5 linked regions of the Macaca mulatta genome follow. The main gene of each other region encodes a partner of the protein of the gene in region 2 in a complex. Links are inferred from orthologs where the notes say so. Each region holds a gene or a part of one and is shown on either strand. Other genes may lie near its edges.

Region 1 (4,125 bases), on a different chromosome or scaffold from region 2:
ACTAGAATCAAGCTCCACTTTATCAGCTGTTGTGCATGTGGCACAGATTGCCTACTCACAAAAGGAAACATTAGAGAGACCATTTCTTAGGAGCTAGAAAGATGCCTTTTTTTTAATCTGTTAAAATTATTATTTTCCAGGTTAGAAATGTGTGCATTTATAGAATAAATTAGTAGGTGAGAAGCCATGAGGCAAAGTGGAAGGTGGTTAGGCTTCAAAAGACAGAAGAACTTGGGCTGGAATCCTAGTACTTTCACCACTTCCAAGTTTAGCAAGTCCTTTAAACCCTGGCCTTCACGAACTTCACTCTTAAAGTGAACAAAAATACCTTCTTGAGAGGCTTCTACAAGGATTTGGGACAATGAAAACAAAGTGCTGAAGCTGTACTAGATCATAAATAAATGGTGCTATTTATGGTGAGTTGGTGTTACACAACTAGTGGCTATGGCACCCAGAGCTTCCAATGCCAAATCATCAAACTGGCATGAGATTCCTGAGTTCAGGGGACAATTGCTTACTTTGTTGGAGGAGGACCAGATGTGAAAAAGCCTGATAAATGTTGACATTCCCAAGGCGCCAGGGCGCCAGACGTGAGGTTACAGCATGTCCTTCCTTTGCTAGTCCAACGAAGCATGACTTCTTAATGTCACTTTTTTGGCTTTTCAGGAAGCCCGTGCAGTATCTAAAGTGGTTTAATGATCCAAAACTAATACACACAAGGTAAGAACTAGTTCAATAATAACATCTTTTCCTTCCTTACTGTTGACTTCCTTGTTTTTTCTTTCTTTGTTCAGTGAATATCAACACAAAGACTAATAAATCTTCTGACACACTTTTTTGTCCTCCAAGAATGTATTTTCTTGTTTGGCTAAGGGCCATCACCTACCCTGACTCCTTTGGGAATAATGGGTGCATTTCTTACAGTTACATCCACCGATTTTCAGGCCAAAGTTTTCATGCGTTCAGTGGAAGGAACTGTGGCATGGTGGAAAAGGTAGAGGGCGAAGACTCAGATCACCTGGTCTCCATCATCATTTCTGCATCTGGCTATATGAGGTGGGCTGATGGCTGTGCCAGTTTCCTCATTTGCACCGCGCACGAGGTCCCGCTTTGGGTGAGCTTTTCTCGCATACATGGTAAGCGGTGATTGGCAGGACCCCGGAGCCCTCTTGGGCGTTAGGCTTGGGCTGCACTTGCACTGGGTGGCCTACTGCGACTGTGGCGCCGTGACGAGAACGGCGGGTTGCGCGCGCAGCACCTCCGTCGCCTCCCGATCCAGAGTCTCTGTTGCCAGGAAAACAGAGCGGCGCGCTTTCCGGCGCAGTCGCGGCGCGTCGCAGCTGTCATGGCGGAGACCGTCTGGAGCACTGACACCGGGGAGGCAGTGTATCGCTCCCGGGACCCCGTGCGCAACTTGCGCCTCCGGTAGTCACACCGCCCCAGCCCCGAGGCCCCATGGTTTTATGTCCTTAGATCATTCCAACCCGAACTCGGTGTTCCGAGGCCCCCACTTCTGCTTACAATCCCGACCACTTCTTCTCCGGGCTCCCCACTTCTTTCACTATCCGTACCCCCATCCACTCACAGTCTCCAAGAACCCCTTACAGACCCACCCAAGTCCATTCACGTCCTTGTTGCTCCCAGTTTCTCAGAGCCCTGTGTCCCCAGTACACCCTCTCACCCTCAGTCTTCCCCATAGGACCGCGCACCCACCCACCTCCTCTCCGTTGTCTGCACCCAGCACACCTTGGCAACCCCACCTCCTCCGTTTTGTTTCCCCAATCCTTGCTTTGTGTTCATCTCCTGGTTGCGTGTCTGGTAACAAATATTTTGGGCTTTTCTTGACAGGGTTCACCTGCAAAGAATCACATCAAGCAACTTTCTTCATTATCAGCCTGCTGCCGAGCTCTGGAAGGACCTCATAGACTTGGCCACTTTTAGGCCTCAGCCAACTGCCAGTGGGTGTTATGGTGATGATGTGCCATCTACTACTAATTCTGATACTAATCAGAATTGTGGCCAAATGTAGTGAGATAACAAGTACTATACTTCTGATACGTTATAGATTTGCCTGGCAATCTACATTCTATTTGTGGCATTTTTAAAAGAGAAAACGTGTCCCAAACTCTAAATACACATATAAACACTTTAAAAAACAATTTTTAAACTGGGGACTGCTTGAAAAATATACATATAATGTGCATATGAAGATCAACTATATTCTTGTGGTTTTCCTTATCTGGGAAACCGAAAGAATGAGGAGGAGAGGACAGAGTGGTTGTGTCAGGTCACTAGTCTGTCTGCCTTTATTGTTTCTCTTTCTGTTCAGAGCTGTTCCTGGGCAAGAGTGTGGGCTTGCGGGTTGTGAAACATGTGTCTCTGAAAAAGGCATACTCAGCCAGCCAAGAGTGTATTAGATTAGATTTGTTTTCTTTGTTTTTGTTTGTGTTTTGTTTTGAGACAGAATCTCATTCTGTTACTCAGGCTGGAGTGCAGTGGTATGATCATAGCTCACTGTAAACCTTGGTCTCCCAGGCTCAAGCCATCCTCCTGCCTCAGCCTCCCAAGTAGCTGGGACTACAGGTTCACACCATTACACTCGGCTGATTTTTTAAAAGTTTTAGTAGAGAAAAGGTCTTGCTCTGTTGTCTAGGCTGGTCTCAAACTCCTGGGCCCAAGTGATCCTTCCACCTTAGCCTCCCAAAATGTTGAGATTACAGGCGCGCGTCACTGCGTCCAGCCAGATTTGGTTCTGTTAAAAAATCATTTATTTGCCTTCACTGTCCTCTCCTGACACTTGGCCTCCTAAATTTCAGTGTTTGTGATACTACATATATGGCTTTAGAAATAGTAAAGATAAAAATGCCAGGGTTATTTTCTAGCAAACGCAGACAGTTTGGACTGCGGAAGGGCTGGCTATTCAGCTTATATCTAAATTTCAGTTTCTTTTTTTTTTTTTCTTTTTGAGACGGAGTCTTGCTCTGTCGCCCAGGCTGGAGTACAGTGGCCGGATCTCAGCTCACTGCAAGCTCCGCCTCCTGGGTTCATGCCATTCTCCTGCCTCAGCCTCCCAAGTAGCTGGGACTACAGGCGCCTGCCACCTCGCCCAGCTAGTTTTTTGTATTTTTTAGTAGAGACGGGGTTTCACCGTGTTAGCCAGGCTGGTCTTGATCTCCTGACCTCGTGATCTGCCCATCTCAGCCTCCCAAAGTGCTGGGATTACAGGCTTGAGCCACTGCGCCCAGCCCCTAAATTTCAATTTCTTATATCCAGTTAGATTAGATATTTCCTGGAGGAGGCTGGGCGCAGTGGCCCACACCTGTAATCCCAGCACTCTGGGCGGCCAGGGCAGGTGGATCACCTGAAGTCAGGAGTTCAAGATCAGCCTGGCTAACATGGCAAAACCCCATCACTACTGAAAATACAAAAATTTGCCAGGTTGGTGGCGTGTGCCTGTAATCCCAGCTACTTGGGAAGCTGAGGCAGGAGAATCGTTAAACCCAGGAGATGGAGGTTGCAGTGAGCTGAAACAGTGCCACTGCACTCCAGCCTGGGTGACAGAGTGAGACTCCATCCCCCCCACCCCCAAAAAAATTCCTGGAGGGTATTTTCTTTTACTCAAATTAGAGTAGTGATTAAGACTTCTTGGGTTCTAATCTTGGCTTCCACTCATACTAACTCTTATATACAGCCTCTCTAGCATTTCTCTAGGTTGAGTGCTTAATAAATTGCTGAATTCCAGCTGGTTTTTGTGGCAAATATAAGAATAGGAACTCTGGTTATAATCAACCACAGAGCAAGAAGTGGTGCTGGTTCGGCTCAAGCATTTGACTCACTCTGTTGTCTTTGGAGGTGGACACCGCCCAGAGGAAGATGAAGAGGAGGAGATTGTGATTGGGTGGCAGGAGAAGCTCTTTAGCCAGGTGAGCCAGTGTCTTTTGTCTGCTCTGTCTGTTCCACCTGGTCTGCCTCCACATGACTGGTGATACATATTGCCAAAGTGATTTCCAGACAGGTTGTAACGGTTTATACTTCGCCCTGTTGTGTTTAAAGGGCAGTGTAACAGGGATTGCCACTACTCAGTTTTATGATTCTGGGTGAGGCACTTTTCATCTCTGGGCTATA
Region 2 (4,010 bases):
TTTTAAAAGAGTCCATCATGATTATAAGGTAACAAAAAGTATTATACGGCAGATCCATAAAACAGGAGTCTAGAAATATGTATTATTAAATAAATGTTATATATTAAAAATAAATTGAATATATACAGTTTATAGAATTTAATTTTCTACAGCTTAATGAACAAATGGAACTCATTATTTAATAACATAATAAACTTTTTCCAAGGTGCTTACCAAATTTTGCTTGTTCTTCTCCAGCTTTTTCTACTTCCTCCAAAGCCAGCTCTACTTCTTGAGCTTTCATCTAAACATTTAAAAAAAGTTTATTTCAATATGCCTTTAAACTGGAATGTAAGCACTGAAAATAAAAATTTTGTTTTCTTATGCTCATTAGTGCCAGCAATGGCTGGCACATGGAGACTTTCAGTAAATATTTGTTGAATGAATAAATAATTTTTTCTCTCCTTTTTTTTCGCTTTTGAAATAGGGCCTCACTTTGTCACCCAGGCTGGAGTGCAGTGGCACAATCTCAGCTTACTGCAACCTCTGCCTCCTGGGCTCAAGCAATCTTCCCATCTCAGTCTCCTGAGTAGCTGGGACTACAGGTGCATGCCATTATGCTCAGCGTGCCATCATGCTCGGCATGCCATCATGCTTGGTGTGCCATCATGCTCAGCAAATTTTTTCGTAGAGGCAAGGTCTCACTATATTATCCAGGCTGGTCTCCAACTCCCAGCCTCAGGCAATCCTCCTGCCTTGGCCTCCCAAAGTGCTGGGATTATAGACGTGAGCCACCATGCCAGGCAATTTTCTTACTTAAGACGACAATTTCTAGATTTTTAATAGCATGAAACATTTTTGATTCTCCCTTTTACCTCAAGTCCTCAAGTCTTATATCCAGTAAAGCAACATATCTCTTTGTAATGTTTTTCCACTACTTTTTTTCTGTTCCAATTGCTATTATTCTAATGCATAATTTCAGGTTTAAACTCCTCTATAATGTGATGTTTGCAAAGCTCCGATTTCCTTCAGTTTGTCCTATATAATAGACTCAGTTTTGCCTTCCTAAGGCCTATTTTTGTACCTATCAACTGTGGTTCGAAAACGCCTTCTCAATTGCTGACAGCATAAAATACACCTTTAATGACCTCAAGAACCTATCTCAAAGTACCTACCCAAGATTTGTTTTCTCTACAGCCTGCTACAAACTTGCTGCACCGCATTTCCTCAAATGTAAAGAATAAACTTATTTCCTATCCTCAATATTTATTTATGGTAACCAACAGCTCTAGAATTCCCTTACTATCTTACCACTGCATTACCTTCCACTTACCTAAAACTACTCCTCAGTATTCATCCTCTGTGAAGTCTTCTGACACCTCTTAGATCACTTCCCCTCTTAACAAATCCCTATAGCAGTCATTGTCTGCATTTGTCATTTGGACCTCAGGATATATTTCCTTATGTTATTTTTCAACATACTCATTCTATTTCCCCTACATACCCTTTTAGAAACTTTAAGTAGAAACTAGCAATGTTTTACATACTAAAATACTTAATCTACATTTAAATATATTGCACTTTTGAGGGGTGATGTAGATATTACCAAGTATTTTCACAAAGATTACTTTATATAAGAACAGATTTTTATAGTTCCTCTAATAGCCAAACCTATCATTAAAACCTACTACATACAAACCTTCATTAGTGACTGAGTAATTCTGAAAAGGTGTATCACATTTTCTTGCTTTTCACTTTTTAGCTCATTTACTTCCACCTAAGTAAACAGAAAAGCAACTGTTTTATATTTTATAACCTTTAAGCAAAATATAAGAACTCTTCCAGATTGTGACAATTAATAGTTGTTTCTGAAAAAAAAATTCATATTTTATTAATAATCATAAGTTAATGTATATATCTATTATTATTGACCAAGTAAGCACCTTGGATAAGGAAATCAATAAATTATCTGCCAGTTCTTCTTGACGGGGCAGGTCATCTGGGTCAACTTTCATTATTTCTTTCCAGTTTATATTAGGTGGCATCTTGAATTCTTTCACTGTGCTCCACCTCTGTAACAAAACAGGTGGATATTAGCATTTTCAAGGTACACAGCATTATTGGTTTTCTAATAGCCTACATTTTTTGCAGATTATTTCATTATAACTTTCTTATGTTAGCAAAGAACTATGCCTTAGCCACAAAACAGACAAGTGGGCAAAATAGCCTTGATCAAAAATAGCAGTCGGCACAAACTGTCAGAGAGTGTACCGGCTAAATAAAATGTGACGGCTTCCTTGCTAACACTAATATAAGTTAGGACTAAGATTTCTGGGTCCCTTCCTCCACACCGCCTACCCACAACGCGCGCGAACACCCTAATCTTGGCAAGCGCGAGGGTCTGTGGAAGGCTGACAATGATCCTTGATTTGGAGAAGCAGAATTGGGGCTGGAAAAAAAAAAAAAAAAAGAAGCAGAAATTAACAATTGGAATGAGTGAAGTTGTGCGGCGGAAACCGGAACCGAAGTAAGGCAGGATTACGGACCCGAGGCTGGAAGGGACGGGGTAGCTGCGCTGCGGCACACGGGCCCTAAGGCTAAAGAACCTGAACGTGGAGTGACTCGCTGATCCTGCTTACAGGGATCCACCCACCTACACCAAGCCTGGCAACCAGCGGAGGTCCCTCACTACCACAACCACCAAGCTGGACAGATCCCTATCGCGGTTCCACGCGGACTCTGGGTCCAGCCAAATGGTCCCCAAGGAAGCCAAAGCGGCAGCGGCTGCTAAGCGACACCATCCCTAACTCCGCCGGGGCCAGAAGAAGATCCCGGATGCAAAGAGAGCCTACAATTCACGACCGTGGGTGATGCTTTACGTTTAGATTCTCCGCCGGAGTCCCAGGACTCGGTGTTCAGGATGATGAGAAGGCGTGGAACGAGGACTCCAAATCCCAGAGTGCAGATGTGCCTGAGGTTTGTGCATGCTGGGAACTGAAGTCCCTGAGAAGAGGAGATAAGGCGCTCCCGGCGTGCAACGCGGAAGGCTGCGACGGTACCGGGGCGGCGGGGAAGGACCGAGAGGCGGGAGGCGCAGTGGCTGAGGCGCCTACGAGCTGGTGGCCTGAACGAGGTAGACCATGACTGTGGCTTTAGTGGCGTCACTCGCTGGGCCGCTCTTCATGAGGTTTTCCTAAGCCATCCCCTGGCGGAACCGCTTCCAGGTGAGGTCGAGCTGTGGGTCAGCGTATCAGGAGGAGTTGAGGGCAGCAGTCTGGGTTAGAGAAGCTTCTGCTATTGGGGCCGTAGGGCCTGGCCCCATTCTGAAAAAGTGGAAACACCCTGCCTTCTCTTCAGGCGTTTGCAGGCGGCGTCCAAGGTAGTGCCTTCTGTAAGAAGGAAAAAACAAAAAGTTTTAGCCTTGTTTAGTATCAGAATCTTTCTTGGTAGAGTGAGAGCCGCGCAGCCGTGATCCTCGTTTGGGGGCGAGCGAAGAATTGACAAGAGGTCTCGGCATCCTCTGACCCCGCCAGCCTTACCTGTAGCACCATTCCCTTCGCAGATGGTGGGACTTGATGGTTGTGGAGCTAGTATAAAGGGAAGGCTCTAGAGAGGAGAGGTTAGTGCTTGTCCGGGCCACTGCCGGGGGTGGAGAGAGAAGGTACCCGAGGACTCACCTGTACTATTGTCACTGCTTGGTTACCTAGGGTGTCCTTCCATGAAAGCGCCTTCTCTGGTGTTTACCACGCTTACTTGTGCAAGTTTTGCTCATCTGCTCATAGCCATACTGGAGTGCGATACACCTCTAACTAACTTTCCTAAGAAGCTGTAGATTTAAATCTAAATGACATTTCCAACTATCTGTACCAGTGCTTCTCATCTTTCTTTTTTTTTTTTTTTAACGCTGCTTTAAAAAAAATTTTACTATACTTGATGGTAAATTTTCCTTTCGAAAATAAGTAATGAATTTCTTTTTAAACTCCCAATTTGGGTAAAATAAATAGCTCAGTACAAAATAAAAATATACTGGT
Region 3 (4,272 bases), on a different chromosome or scaffold from region 2:
TGTGCTCTTGTTGCAGAGGCTGGAGTGCAATGGCACGGCTCACTGCAACCTCCACCTCCCGGGTTCAAGCGATTCCACTGCCTTAGTAGCTAATCGAGTAGTAGTAATCGAGTAGCTGGGATTACAGGCACGCGCCACCACATCCGGCTAATTTTGTATTTTTAGTGGAGATGGGGTTTCAGCATGTTGGTCAGGCTTGTCTCGAACTCCTGACCTCAGATGATCCGCCCTCCTGGGCCTCCCAAAGCGCTGGGATTACAGGCGTGAGCCACTGTGCCTGGCCCGCGTATCCCTGTTTGTAGCACCTATTATCTTACGGATTTATTTGTTTGCATGTCTGTTGTTGATCTCCCTGACTAGAATACTATTACTAGGTAATAAATAAATATATAAAAATATTTGTTGAAGGAATGAGAAATGCCTCTTGGGCTTGTACTTTAGTCTGGCTAAAGGCACTGAGACGTCGAGTGGGAAGTAGGAAGATATTGTTCTCCTGGGAAATGGGCCGGGAGTTTCCTTGAGGATGGGACTTGACTGAGCAATTAGAGAAGAACTTTCAGATCTGCAGGGACCTGCGCTGAGGCCCAAAGGTCATGACGTCGCCGGTGATAAGAGCTTCCTGGACTGTAGCTGGGCAATGTCGGAGGTCCAGCACCTCCAAGAGATAAAGAAATCTAAGTTGAGTTTCCCTTCCCGTAGGCTCCAAGCCTCCCAGAGACGCAGGGACTGTACCATTCCCTTCGTCCACTCCCACCTTTCCAGCCACCTTGCTTTGCTCTTATTCCCACGCTAGTTTAAGGACGCTGACCACTTTTTGCACTCTGCAAATCCTTCACCAAACTGAGCAAAGTAGTCTGAGAGAAATCAGTCTTCCTCAAGGAAGGTTCAGGCCTAGGGTCCTCAGACAACCAGGGGCTCTGTGACAATCTGTAACTGCCGAGCAGTCCAGGAACACCGGCCTCTCCACGTTCGGGTCCCTTGTTTCTCAGGCCCAGCTTGGTGGGAAGTTAAAGGCATGAGGAGAGGAGGAAGGGGAGCGGGTGTGAGTCTTCGGCATGGCGGGGACCTCAGCCCGGCGTGGCGGTGGGAGTGATCTCAAGTGATCCACAACTGGGCAGCGTAGCTGGGGCTGGGGGCCGCTCCCGGCGTGGGCAACCGCGGAAGCAGAGGTGTCCCCAGGCTAGGCCAGGGTGGGTTTCCGTTCGTCGGCCCTGCGTGGGCAGATCGGGCGCTGCGGGGCTGTGCCACCCCTCACCCTCTGAGAAACAAAGGGCCTGGCTGCGCACGGGTACCCAGCCATTGGGTTAGAAGCTCCTTCGGGTACCCCTGACCTGAGTTAGCCCTGAAAGACCCACAGCAGATGGAGAATGTACTGCTCTCGCGAGGTTTTCCGAGAACGCGGCAGCACGCCCGCGTACGCGGTTACCAAGGCAACTGGGCGGTGCCTGAGCTGGCGGAAAGGAGGAGTTCGTCTAGATTTGTCCGCTTGCTGGTGGACTTGCGGGAGTCGCAGTCTCTGAACTTCCAGCCTCAGAGACCGCCGCTCTTGTTCCCAAGGGCCATGGGCCGGGTCTCAGGGCTTGTGCCCTCTCGCTTCCTGACGCTCCTGGCGCATCTGGTGGTCGTCATCACTTTATTCTGGTCCCGGGTAAGACCCACGGCTGCCCTCCGTCCGCCCCCATTCCCATCTCGGAGTCGTCCCCGCCCCACCCTGCCCCTCTCCCAGTGTCTTACCCACTTGGGTTTTCTCGTGTTCCGCCGTCCCTAGGCCTGCCCAGCAGCCTGCCCCTTTTTCACTTCTCTTCCTCTCTGCCCTGCTCCCAGGACAGCAACATTCAGGCCTGCCTGCCTCTCAGGTTCACCCCCGAGGAGTATGACAAGCAGGACATTCAGTGAGCTCTTGGGACGGGGTGGCCAGAACGAAGAGGTGGTGGGAGTGGAGGGGTCTTAGAAGAAGTCCAAAGGCCTGGGCCAGTCCACTTCCTCTCTGCAGGCTGGTGGCCGCGCTTTCTGTCACCCTGGGCCTCTTTGCAGTGGAGCTGGCCGGTTTCCTCTCAGGAGTCTCCATGTTCAACAGCACCCAGAGCCTCATCTGTATCCTTTCTGCCTGCCCACCTTTCCCACACGACCCATTTCTATCAGGACTCCCTTCAGCCACCTGACACAATAGTGTCTGCTGTAGCCAGTCTCTCCAGTTCAAAGATCTTCAACCATGTGCTAAATCCTGCTGTTTACTAGGCACTTAAAATTCCGAAATGAGAGTAAAATACAGTTTTTGGCCAGGCACGTTGGCTCACGTCTGTAATCCCAGCACTGTGGGAGGCCCGCGCAGGAGGCAACATAGTTAGACCCCGTGTCTACAAAATAAATAGTAATAATAAAAACTCCACTTTTTTTTTTTTTAACCATGAGGAGGTAGATACACATCTGTAATTCAGTGTGATAAGCAGTGTGCTATGGGAGTGTGTAAAGATAGCACAGGCAGGGTGCGATGGCTCACGCCTGTAATGCCAGCACTTTGGGAGACCGAGGCAGGTGGATCACCTGAGGTCAGGAGTTCAAGACCAGCCTGACCAACATAGTGAAACCCTGTCTGTACTAAAAATACAGAAATTAGTCGGGCGTGGCGGTGCACTCCTGTAATCCCAGCTACTCAGGAGGCTGAGGAAGGAGAATTGCTTGAACCCAGGAGGCAGAGGTTGCAGTGAGCCGAGATCGTGCCACTGCACTCCAGCCTGGGCGACAGAGCAAGACTCTGGCAAAAAACGAAAGATATAAAGCACATTGGGAACTCAGAAGAGGCAACGGAAGCCAGGCACATGGGTCAGAGAATTGTGGACCAGGAGGACCAGGACACTGGAGGCTGATTCCAGCGCATATCAAGTCGCTGTCAGCACTCCTGTGTGGCATAGCAGGAGAGCCTACTCTTACCTCTCATCTGAAGGATCCAGGCTGGCCCCTAGATATGGAGTAGGGTAGCCTGAGATCCCATCTGCGCAGTCACTTCTGGTCTCTCCTCACATGACTGTCCTAAAATTCAGAAGTCGGGGATGCTGACTCTAGCCCTTGCAATATGGTGAGGGAGCAAACGATGAACCTGAATGCAGATGCCAACCCCACCACTGGCCTTTGGCCTTTTCTGACCCCTCACTATCTGTCGATCCAAAGACTTTCCTTAACTGTGGTGCCTTCTCAAGCCATTGGGGCTCACTGTAGTGCATCCGTGGCCCTGTCCTTCTTCATATTCGAGCGTTGGGAGTGCACTACGTATTGGTACATTTTTGTCTTCTGCAGGTGTGGTAGCATCCAATATTCGGGAATGAGGGAGGAAGGCTGACCCTAAACCTGAGGGTTTTTCCCCTACCCAGCCCTTTCCTCTATGTGGGAGATACCAGATCCACTTAACATCCTGTAGTCTTTTGAATTTTCATTCCCTACCCCATGCCACCTGTCCTACACTTTCAGGGGTGGGGTCTCTGGTTTGGAGATTTGGGTATTTATATTGAACGGGTTTCTGAATCTACCACTTGCCTCGGTAGTGCCCTTCCAGCTGTCACTGAAATGACTTTATTCGTCACCGTCTTTGGGCTGAAAAAGAAGCCTTTCTGAGCACCTTCATGACGGGAACCTAAGGACGAAGGCTACAGGGGCAAGGGCCGCTTCGTATTCCTGGAAGAAGGAAGGCATAGGCTTCGGTCCTCCCCTCGGAAACTGCTTCTGCTGGAGGATATGTGTTGGAATAATTACGTCTTGAGTCTGGGATTATCCGCATTGTATTTAGTGGTTTGTAATAAAATATGTTTTGTAGTAAGATTAAGACATATACAGTTTTCAGGGCACAATTGAAATGGCGAAACTACTGAAGAAAAAAAAAGAAGCAACGTTATTTTCTAGTTCTGCAGACCGTAAGATACTTGGTATCGCTTCTATTTTGGTTATTACGGTAGTTGTCTGGCGGAAGGGAGTGGGCGGAGATATGTAAATAGAAAGTGCTTACAGTTAGAACGTCCAGCACGTAAATGATCGGAGCATTCTGGGAAAAAGAAATTTATTCCTTTTCGGCAGCCGAACGAAAAAATTCTTTTAAAAATGTGCAAGCAAATATGGCAATACAACTGGAAGGATGCTAAGTAGTAGGGTTACTTATACCAACGCGTCGTGAACTCACCCTAGCTGTAAACGGAATCTTTTTGACTGAGTGCGGAATGTCGGCTATTTAGAAATATCGTCAGGTGGGATAATCCTTACCTGTTCCTCTTTTGGAGGGCAGAT
Region 4 (4,097 bases), on a different chromosome or scaffold from region 2:
AAATTGGAACAATAAGCTAATGAGAGATGAAATTAGTCAGGGAGATGGAGCATATTGTATCCTAGGCAAAGCAATCATTTTCTCTTACACGTTGCCTTTCAAGAATTTTCAGCAAGAGAGAGCCATTATCCGATTTACATTTTTAGTCAGGACATTCTGATAGCAGTGTGGGGAATTTTAAGAGTCAAAACTGGAGTCACAGGACTGGTAAAGCGCCCACCTGAGGAATTTAAAAAGAGAGAATGAATATGCTTTGGTATAAGATGCATTTAGAATACTCTACAGTTCTTACTAAAACACTGGGAGCAAGTGTTTGACACTTGATAGTGCAAGATTACAGCAAGATAGTGGTGGCTTACAGCAAGATAGAAATCTAGGAGAGTAGGTTTAGAATGCAAAGTTGAACAGCTCAGTTTGTACACAGCGGATTAGTAATCTTTCTCGTTGCTTCCTCAAAGGATTTAGGGAAGCACATGGCATAGAGATATAGTTTGTAAGGTGTGGCAATGCCAGTGAGAATGGAAAAGCTGGCCTCCATAAACTCTCTCTCTGTACAAACGAAGCAACAGGTTACAGCGCGTGGCTGTAGGTACAGGAAATGGCGTGTATTCATGAGTCCACGAGTAGCGCAACTAGTATTTTTCCAGCCCTGGTGACTCAGAGCTGAAGATGGCGCCTGCGGCAGAAATCAGAACAGTGGGAGGGAGCGTTAGGTACAGAAAAGTATGGCGTTTTAACTTTTGTTTTCCACACACAGGGAGATAGCTCTAAAGGAATCGTGCATAATTTTTTCTTAAGATTTTGTCTGTAGTACAACTTCATTTTCCACGCTTTAAAATCATGTTTTCTTTTGTGGGCGCGACCGCGTGGGGAGTGACAAATCTGTTTATTTGCCTCATTCATTGATTTTCTTATTTTGGGCGACTTCCATAACAGCCTCCCCAGTTTTCCTTTGCCCCGTCAGTTTTTCCCTGCGCTTGCTACAATTCTAAGGCGGAAAGAGTATTTTTGGAGGTGAAGGCGGGGAAGACTCAAGCTCTGTGGGAGCACCCGCGCATTTCCGACTCCCTTCCCGCTCGCACGGCCTCGGAGGCTGGAGGCCCGTAAGGTCCCCGAAGCGCGCGCCCACCAACAGCCTGAGGGCCCCGGTGCAGGCGCCGCGCGGCCCCTTCTCCCGGGCGGAGGCGAAGGCGGTGGCGGCGCGGGGGCGGGGGCGGGGCCGCGGTCCGGGCCTAGCGCGCGAGACGCGTCGGTCGCCATGGGAACGGCGGTGTAGGCAGGCGCTGACGTCAGCAGGCCGCGAGTCGTCCGCACTGCGGCACAGAGCAGTGGCTTGCTCTCCGAACCCGGGTCCCTGGCGGGTAAGGTGGCTTCGTGGCCGCCTCACTTAGCGCCCGCGCCGCTGGGCGCGGGGGAGTCGATTTGCACTGTTCCGGGTGTCGGCTTGGGCGGGACGGACGGTTCTGCCTACTCCTCCTCTCCGTAAGTACCTCGTGGGTTCGCTGGTGGCGGGAGCGCGGGCCGGGGTGCTCGGCCTGCCCGGCCCTCTCTGGGGCGGCGTGTCGGGGCTGCTGGAGTCCGAGAGCGCGGGGGCTGATCGCGGATTGACCGGGGAGCGTGGGCCGGGTGTCCCGGAGGAATGCGATTTCCCGGAGTCCTCAACGTACTTTTCCGCTTCTTTCACTGGTCTCGGTGTCTCCGGAGAGTTGAGCATGGTGTTCTGATAGGGAATTCAATCTTTGCCTTTCCTACTCCCGATTCTTGTTTAAATGCTTTTAAATCAGATGCGTACTGAGTGTGTTTATTTCCTTTTAGAGTGTCATCCTGGGGCTGAATCTTCAACCTGTCAAAGCCTACTTAATTACGTCTGAGAAAAGGTGATCAATTTGTTAAACTTATAAGAGCCAGATTATATTAATAGGGTTGTTTCGAGATGCATAAAAATAGAATAAAAATGTAGACCATTTAAGCATCCTTATCAAAGGTTGTGCTGCGTTTGGCATTCCTGTGAAAACATCTAATGTGAAAATAAAGTTTTTCCCTTTTGAGAAAGAGATGCCAACAGTTTTTTCACCTGTTGCATTAGCAGTTACTGTTATTGCTTGGTTTAGGAGGAAGATTGCTTCTTATGAGTACTCTGGGAAATTTTTTAAAGAATGCTTGAAAAAATTAAAATACCAAAAGTGTTTTTAAACCATACTTAGAATCTTGTTTATGAAGAATAATATTTATGAAGTTAGAATCTTGTGTACTTATGAAGAATCTTGTTGATCTATTCATTGAATGTTGTGTACAGGATTTTTGTTTGTCTTTTTTTCCCTTGCGATAACATTTGGTTAAAGAGGGAATTATCAAGCCTCTCAATTTTTTCTCCCATTGATATTGAGTCACATATTGGCTGATAATCAGGTGGTCTGTAAAATAAAATGAAATGAGGTGTAATCCATTTAATTTTCCTACATAGTATCTCTTAGAAGCTCCTGTGAAAGGGTTTGTGAGGGAGAAGTTGTAAAATAATGGAATATATAAGATTCGGAGGTTTCTTTTAAAGTCCGACCTGAATTTTCGCAGATAATGTTACTAATTAAATATTAGTCATTAATTCTATCATATGTTTGCTGTAGTACACATTAAGATTTAGAGATGGCTGGGCGCAGTGGATCAGGCCTGTAATCCTAGCACTTTGGGAGGATCAAGAGTGGGTGGATCACTTGAGGTCAGGAGTTCAGTATCGGCCTGGCTAATGTTGGTGAAAACCCATCTCTACTAAAAATACAACAATTAGCCGGGCGTGGTGGCGCACAACTGTAGTCCCAGCTGCTAGGGAGGTTGAGGCAGGGGAATTGCTTGAACCCAGGAGGCGGAGGCAGCAGTGAGCTGAGATTGTGCCACTGCACTCCAACCTGGGCAACAGAGCAAGACTTTGTCTCCAAAAAAAAAAAAAATTAGAGATGATTTCTATAATGTATTTGCTGTGTTATTAAATAATATTAGTATTTATTCAGTTGTGTATTAAGCTATTAACAGTAAATAATTCTATGATTTCTGTATTTTATTAATAATTACTTATTTTTAATACAATAATACTGGACATAAAGTAATTTTATTGCAGTGTACTCATTACTTTGCTTTTTGGTATTTTCTCCTTGCAGTACTAAAACAGGTGCCATTTTAAATTCCCAGACAAGGAAAAACCAAGGATTAGAAATTAAGTAGCTTACCCAATGCCACACATCAGTAAGTGGTGACACTGGAGGTCAAACCTGAGTCTTTTTTACTCTAGGACCGTTGCTACTGCTTCGCTTTGCTTTGCTTCTCGTGTTTTCTCTTCTCTCTCCTCTTTTCTTTCATAGTGGCAGATACATAACTATAGAGAGCATTGGCGTGGCCTCCAAAGCTAGCAGTTTGGTGGGAGACAGAACATTTAACCAGGATGAAAATTCAGGGCTGAGGTGGAGGGAGTTACAAAGATTCAGGCACCCTGGGAGCACAGAAGAGAAGTGCTTCACCGCCCTTCAAGGTGCGAATGCTCTCTAGAGAAGATACTTGCCTTCAAAGGATAATGAGGAGTTTGTTAGAGTGACAAAGGAGGAAGGACATTTTTCAGGAGAGGGGATATATGTGTAATGATACAAAAGCAAGAGAGGACGTGGCACATGTGAAGGCCTGGAGGTAGTTTCACATGGCTGGAACACAGTGTATGGTGTGAAGGGGACATTTCATAAATGGCCTTGGACCTCAGTGGTAAGGACTTGATATTTTTTTCAGTGTGTGATTGGGAGCTAGTGAAGAATTTTAAGCAAAGAAATGACACCGTCACATTTGAATTTTAGAAAATTACACTGATTGCTGTGTAGATGATGATTTATTTTTTAAAAGGGTAAGGTGATAGTGGCATGGAAACAATCTTAAAACAAACAGCATAATCCTTCCACAGTGTTTTTGTCCCAGAGTTACTGTCTCATGTCACTGCCTTTAGGGGTGGTGGAAAGACAGTTGGAAGAATTCTGTAAAGAATTGTCTACATGTCCCTTCTACAGGGGTCACCTTCCATTCACCCCTCAGCCCCAGCCTGCTAGGTTTCTGCCCCTCCATAA
Region 5 (4,010 bases), on a different chromosome or scaffold from region 2:
TCCACTCTTGCAATAATGGCATTAATACATTCATGAGGGCAGAGTCCTACAGCCTAATTGCCTCTCATTAGGTCCCGCCTCCCCACAACATTGTATTAGGGATTAAGTTTCCAATACATGCTTTTGGGGAGACACATACAAATCATAGAACATGGAATGCCACACAGGACCACATAGGGAAGAACCAGTGTTGGTCAGAAGGCAGAAGGGAGACAGCAGAGTACAGAGCAGAGCCTTTACTAGGGTTTTCCCAGGAAGGAATAGGTGACACAGGGTAGGGTGCTGAGTAAATTTAGGACTAGATAGCTTGAATAATCGTGGTGTTCTCTGGGCTATAGTGGTCTGGTATCTGGACCTGGGGTGACTTGGGACAGGAGGAATATTGGCTTAGTGTGTGAGAGTTTGAAAATGGAGATGGTTGGTTGTGTGGGCTCTGGATTGGTTGGCTTGTATATGAGACTTTGCATATTTCAGGGGAATCATTTGCTATCTCTAGAAATTAGCTAACCTAGGAGAATCAGTTTCTCCAGGATCAAGGCTCCAAATGCCAGAGCATCAAGAATACAATCAATACACATACACACAAACGTACACACAAAATACACACAGATACAGATACACACAAACACATGTGCACATACACACTAGTCTATTTGGAGTGTGGTTTCCTTGGCTCCATTCATTCTATTACTCTTCCAGCTACTTTGCCTCTTTCCTCTCTCTCTCTTTTTTTTTCTTTTCAACTGTTTTGAGCCATAACATTTATATCCGTTTTTAGGAATTGCAGTGGGATTCAGAGAATAGGCAAAAATTAAACTTGTGCATTCAACCTTCCACTTTTAACTGGAAAACACTTGAGCGCAACATTTGCTGGTACCCTGCAGGACCTCCACAGAGCTTTTGCTGCTGCCACGTTAGACAGCTTCACCATGTAATGATGATCTTTTAAGATTCTAAATCGCCCCACCTCTGAGCCTGTTCTTCATTGGAAATGCAAGACAACCAGATGACATGAGGGAGGGGCGGCTCTTAAGGCTTAATCTAATTTCCAGTGCTGCCCATGTTGATTTCTCTCAGTCCTTCTCCAGCAGGCTGTGCGTCTCTGCTTACCCAGCATGCTTGTACTCCACTACTGGAAGTAACCTGTCACTTTAAAAGAAAAAAAAAAGCCACCGAGTGACCTTCCTTAGGAACGGGTTGCTAAGCTGGTGTTTTTGCTCCAAGACATGGCTGCAGCTTCCCAGGGAGGAGCCCAGGGGCATCTCCAACACTCAGCCTTTCCCTCCGGACCCTTTTAAAAGATTCTACAGCACCATCTCTCTCCACTTCCATCCTAGAAAGCAGAATCTGCAAAGTGCCTTTTGTAAAGTTTCTTAAGGTAAATCAGTCCCTAACCGGACTTTGGGCTGCAACAATGATTTCCTGTTTTCAGTTACCCGGCTTGAAATTCAGTCTCTCCCGGATACCATGAGACTGGATTTAATGAATTGTAAATTTAGGGGCTCTCATCATTATTTATGTTTTTACTTTCTGAAATGGGAACATAGACCATTACTTGGCAGCTTTGATTTGAGCTGCTATCTGGTATCTGGTTTGCAGGAAATGTAAGTCCAGTTCATCACAAGCCCTGAGTGAAAAGCTCTGTGAACCATTAGCTGCATGTTGCACTTACGGGCCTTTTAGTTCAAACTGGCTTAAGGTGAGAAGCACTAGTTACTGCGAAATACACTTTTCTTGGTATTAGACAGAGAAAGGGCTACTAACCACAGTGCTGAGAGTTGCTGTGCTGTCCAAAGACTTCAAGAAAATCTACTGGCTACAACTTAAGCTGACTGTTTGTTTCCCCTCATTGCAAAGAGGTGATATGAAAAGCTAATAAAGTCGAATAAGATATATGTTTGCTATTGCATTTTCATATAACCTTTTCTGCAAGTAAATTCAGTGCCAGCATGAAATCTCTCTCTCTCTCTCTCTCTCTCTCTCCGTATATATTTATATATACACAAATATATATATCTCCTAGAGCCCACTTATAGAGTCATTCATTCAAACATTTATGGAGCATCAACAATGCACCAGGCAATGAACTTAAGTTTAGAGGGTGCAAACATAAATTAGACCAGGTCAGAAGCTCAGAGTTTGCTGGGAAAATAGACCTATAAACACATGATAAGAGTACAATGAGCTAAGTGCCATAAGAGATTTATAAAACACTGAAAGCACAGCGGGATGACATCCAGGGAGGGGCTTCCAGCACTTACCACATTGTGTAAATGCACTGGCCATATATCATATAACACAGCTCAAATATGGTCCCCATATGTACTCTTCAAAGCCAATGTATATTATATTGAGCTGATTCAATGATTCTATAAAGCTATTTGTCACTAACCTTATGCTAAGGGAAACTGCAGCTGGAATAACTTATAGAATAAGACAATGTATTCCAAAAGAATGTATGTGGCACCTCCCCAGGTGTCCAAGCTCCAGGATGGAACAGAAAAATATTCTCACGGTGTGAGGAAGAAAATACTCCTGGGTAGAAGTGCAGGAGGTTGCAGAAGCACCATACATGGAAACAGCAAGGCAACTGCCCTGGGCCTGGCTGAAGGCAACGAGAGATGGAACATGAGTTATGGTAGCTGGGGGTTGAAGATTGGAGCCAAAGGTGGGTGGGCTTGAAAATCACCTAAGGTCTTTTTCATGACTCCTCTTCTATCCCCCAAGCTCTTTTCCCTCCTCATTCCTTTTTTCCACTTTCCCTCCCCACAATCACTTTTTCTTATTAACAAAACCTACCAATATTGAGAGCCCAGTCTGTGCTAGGCATTTTGCTACACACATTTCATCATTTAGCCCTTATAAATTAATCATCCTTCAAGGTAGGAAGTATGATTGCAATGTTGCAGACAAAAAAAAAAAAAAAAATGTGTCTCAGAGAAGGGAGGACATTGTTCCAAGATCACACAGCTAATAAAAAAAGCTGAAGTTGGAACTCAGGTCCACATATTCCTTGGCAAAGAAATACGTGGGCCACTCTTCCTATAAACCCATGTTTTTGCCATCCTGGAGTAGGGCATATATATTGCATGATTTTTTAAGCAACCAATATGGAGTTGAGATGCATTGTATCTCAACCTACAGGTATGGCTCTGATCCACTGATGACTCTTAAGAATAGACCATTTATTCAGATGAAGGTGTCAGTACTTTCCTTGAAAAAAATGTTTGGTTTTCTGCACTGAGTAAAATAAATAATTGACTTAATGTAGCCTAAGCCTTTTCTCACCAGTGCTTCACAGCTTTCAACTGTAAATATTTCCAGTTCAATAATTATTCTATAGAATAATTATTGATGCCATTACAAAAGTAAGAATAAATGGTGAGACAGAGGGGTAGAGTGGAGTGAGGGAGGACTTGGGAATCAGAGTCTTGGGGTCAAGTTCTGGATGTGACATTTAATAATTATAACCTTGGGCAAATCATGCAAACTGTCAGAGCCTCAGTTTATTCATACACAAATTGGGGCACATACTGCTAAGCCAGACATGTTATTGTGAGGACTAAAGAGAACATATGTCTAGAGTTAGCACAAAATAAGTGTGCAGTAAATCATAGTTATTTTGATGTTGTCAGTAGGAATATATTAACAAGTACCAATGCATAAGATGATGGCAAGCTGCATATTAAAACCATGCAGTACTGATTTATGTTTTCTTAGCAACAGTGTTCATATAAAAAGTAAATTTCGTTGTCATTTGATTTCCTTAGAAACTCATTTAAAGGAAATGATCAGGAAAGAATGAGGAGAAAAGAAAATCCCATTACATTTTTCATTTTCTACTTCTATTTTTTATTTCATATAAAGCATTTTTTAACTTATAGAGAACTTTTTTTAGTTACTAAAATATTTCACAGATTTTTTGTTTGTTTGTTTTGGTTTTCTTTCAGTTTGCAATGACCGGAGTTGTTTATTAGAGAACTCTTGTGTACTTTTACATTTCATCCTTA

Evidence for each region. The genes of interacting proteins can lie anywhere in the genome.
Region 1: CEP290 (region 2) and MKS1 share a complex: the UniProt entries of both Homo sapiens proteins name them as parts of the tectonic-like complex. The link is inferred for Macaca mulatta from reciprocal best matches to the Homo sapiens genes CEP290 and MKS1.
Region 3: CEP290 (region 2) and TMEM107 share a complex: the UniProt entries of both Homo sapiens proteins name them as parts of the tectonic-like complex. The link is inferred for Macaca mulatta from reciprocal best matches to the Homo sapiens genes CEP290 and TMEM107.
Region 4: CEP290 (region 2) and AHI1 share a complex: the UniProt entries of both Homo sapiens proteins name them as parts of the tectonic-like complex. The link is inferred for Macaca mulatta from reciprocal best matches to the Homo sapiens genes CEP290 and AHI1.
Region 5: CEP290 (region 2) and CC2D2A share a complex: the UniProt entries of both Homo sapiens proteins name them as parts of the tectonic-like complex. The link is inferred for Macaca mulatta from reciprocal best matches to the Homo sapiens genes CEP290 and CC2D2A.

The regions. Positions count from the first base shown.
Region 1 is NC_133421.1:51,768,672-51,772,796, forward strand, and holds the start of MKS1 (tectonic-like complex member MKS1), read left to right. Parts: upstream 1-1,322; 5' UTR 1,323-1,345; coding exon 1,346-1,425; intron 1,426-1,848; coding exon 1,849-1,958; intron 1,959-3,795; coding exon 3,796-3,923; intron 3,924-4,125. UniProt on the Homo sapiens protein: Component of the tectonic-like complex, a complex localized at the transition zone of primary cilia and acting as a barrier that prevents diffusion of transmembrane proteins between the cilia and plasma membranes.
Region 2 is NC_133416.1:95,386,595-95,390,604, forward strand, and holds the start of CEP290 (centrosomal protein of 290 kDa), read right to left. Parts: upstream 2,808-4,010; 5' UTR 2,633-2,807; intron 2,528-2,632; exon of another isoform or gene 2,338-2,527; intron 2,052-2,337; 5' UTR 2,025-2,051; coding exon 1,923-2,024; intron 1,757-1,922; coding exon 1,679-1,756; intron 284-1,678; coding exon 214-283; intron 1-213. UniProt on the Homo sapiens protein: Involved in early and late steps in cilia formation. Its association with CCP110 is required for inhibition of primary cilia formation by CCP110.
Region 3 is NC_133421.1:9,692,384-9,696,655, reverse strand, and holds TMEM107 (transmembrane protein 107), read left to right. Parts: upstream 1-1,469; 5' UTR 1,470-1,561; coding exon 1,562-1,648; intron 1,649-1,824; coding exon 1,825-1,892; intron 1,893-1,975; coding exon of another isoform or gene 1,976-1,993; coding exon 1,994-2,094; intron 2,095-2,931; exon of another isoform or gene 2,932-3,030; intron 3,031-3,197; coding exon 3,198-3,294; intron 3,295-3,539; coding exon 3,540-3,609; 3' UTR 3,610-3,864; downstream 3,865-4,272. UniProt on the Homo sapiens protein: Plays a role in cilia formation and embryonic patterning. Requires for normal Sonic hedgehog (Shh) signaling in the neural tube and acts in combination with GLI2 and GLI3 to pattern ventral and intermediate neuronal cell types.
Region 4 is NC_133409.1:40,602,586-40,606,682, reverse strand, and holds the start of AHI1 (jouberin), read left to right. Parts: upstream 1-1,294; 5' UTR 1,295-1,482; intron 1,483-1,815; exon of another isoform or gene 1,816-1,877; intron 1,878-4,097. UniProt on the Homo sapiens protein: Involved in vesicle trafficking and required for ciliogenesis, formation of primary non-motile cilium, and recruitment of RAB8A to the basal body of primary cilium.
Region 5 is NC_133410.1:14,515,483-14,519,492, forward strand, and holds the start of CC2D2A (coiled-coil and C2 domain-containing protein 2A), read left to right. Parts: upstream 1-1,207; 5' UTR 1,208-1,378; intron 1,379-4,010. UniProt on the Homo sapiens protein: Component of the tectonic-like complex, a complex localized at the transition zone of primary cilia and acting as a barrier that prevents diffusion of transmembrane proteins between the cilia and plasma membranes.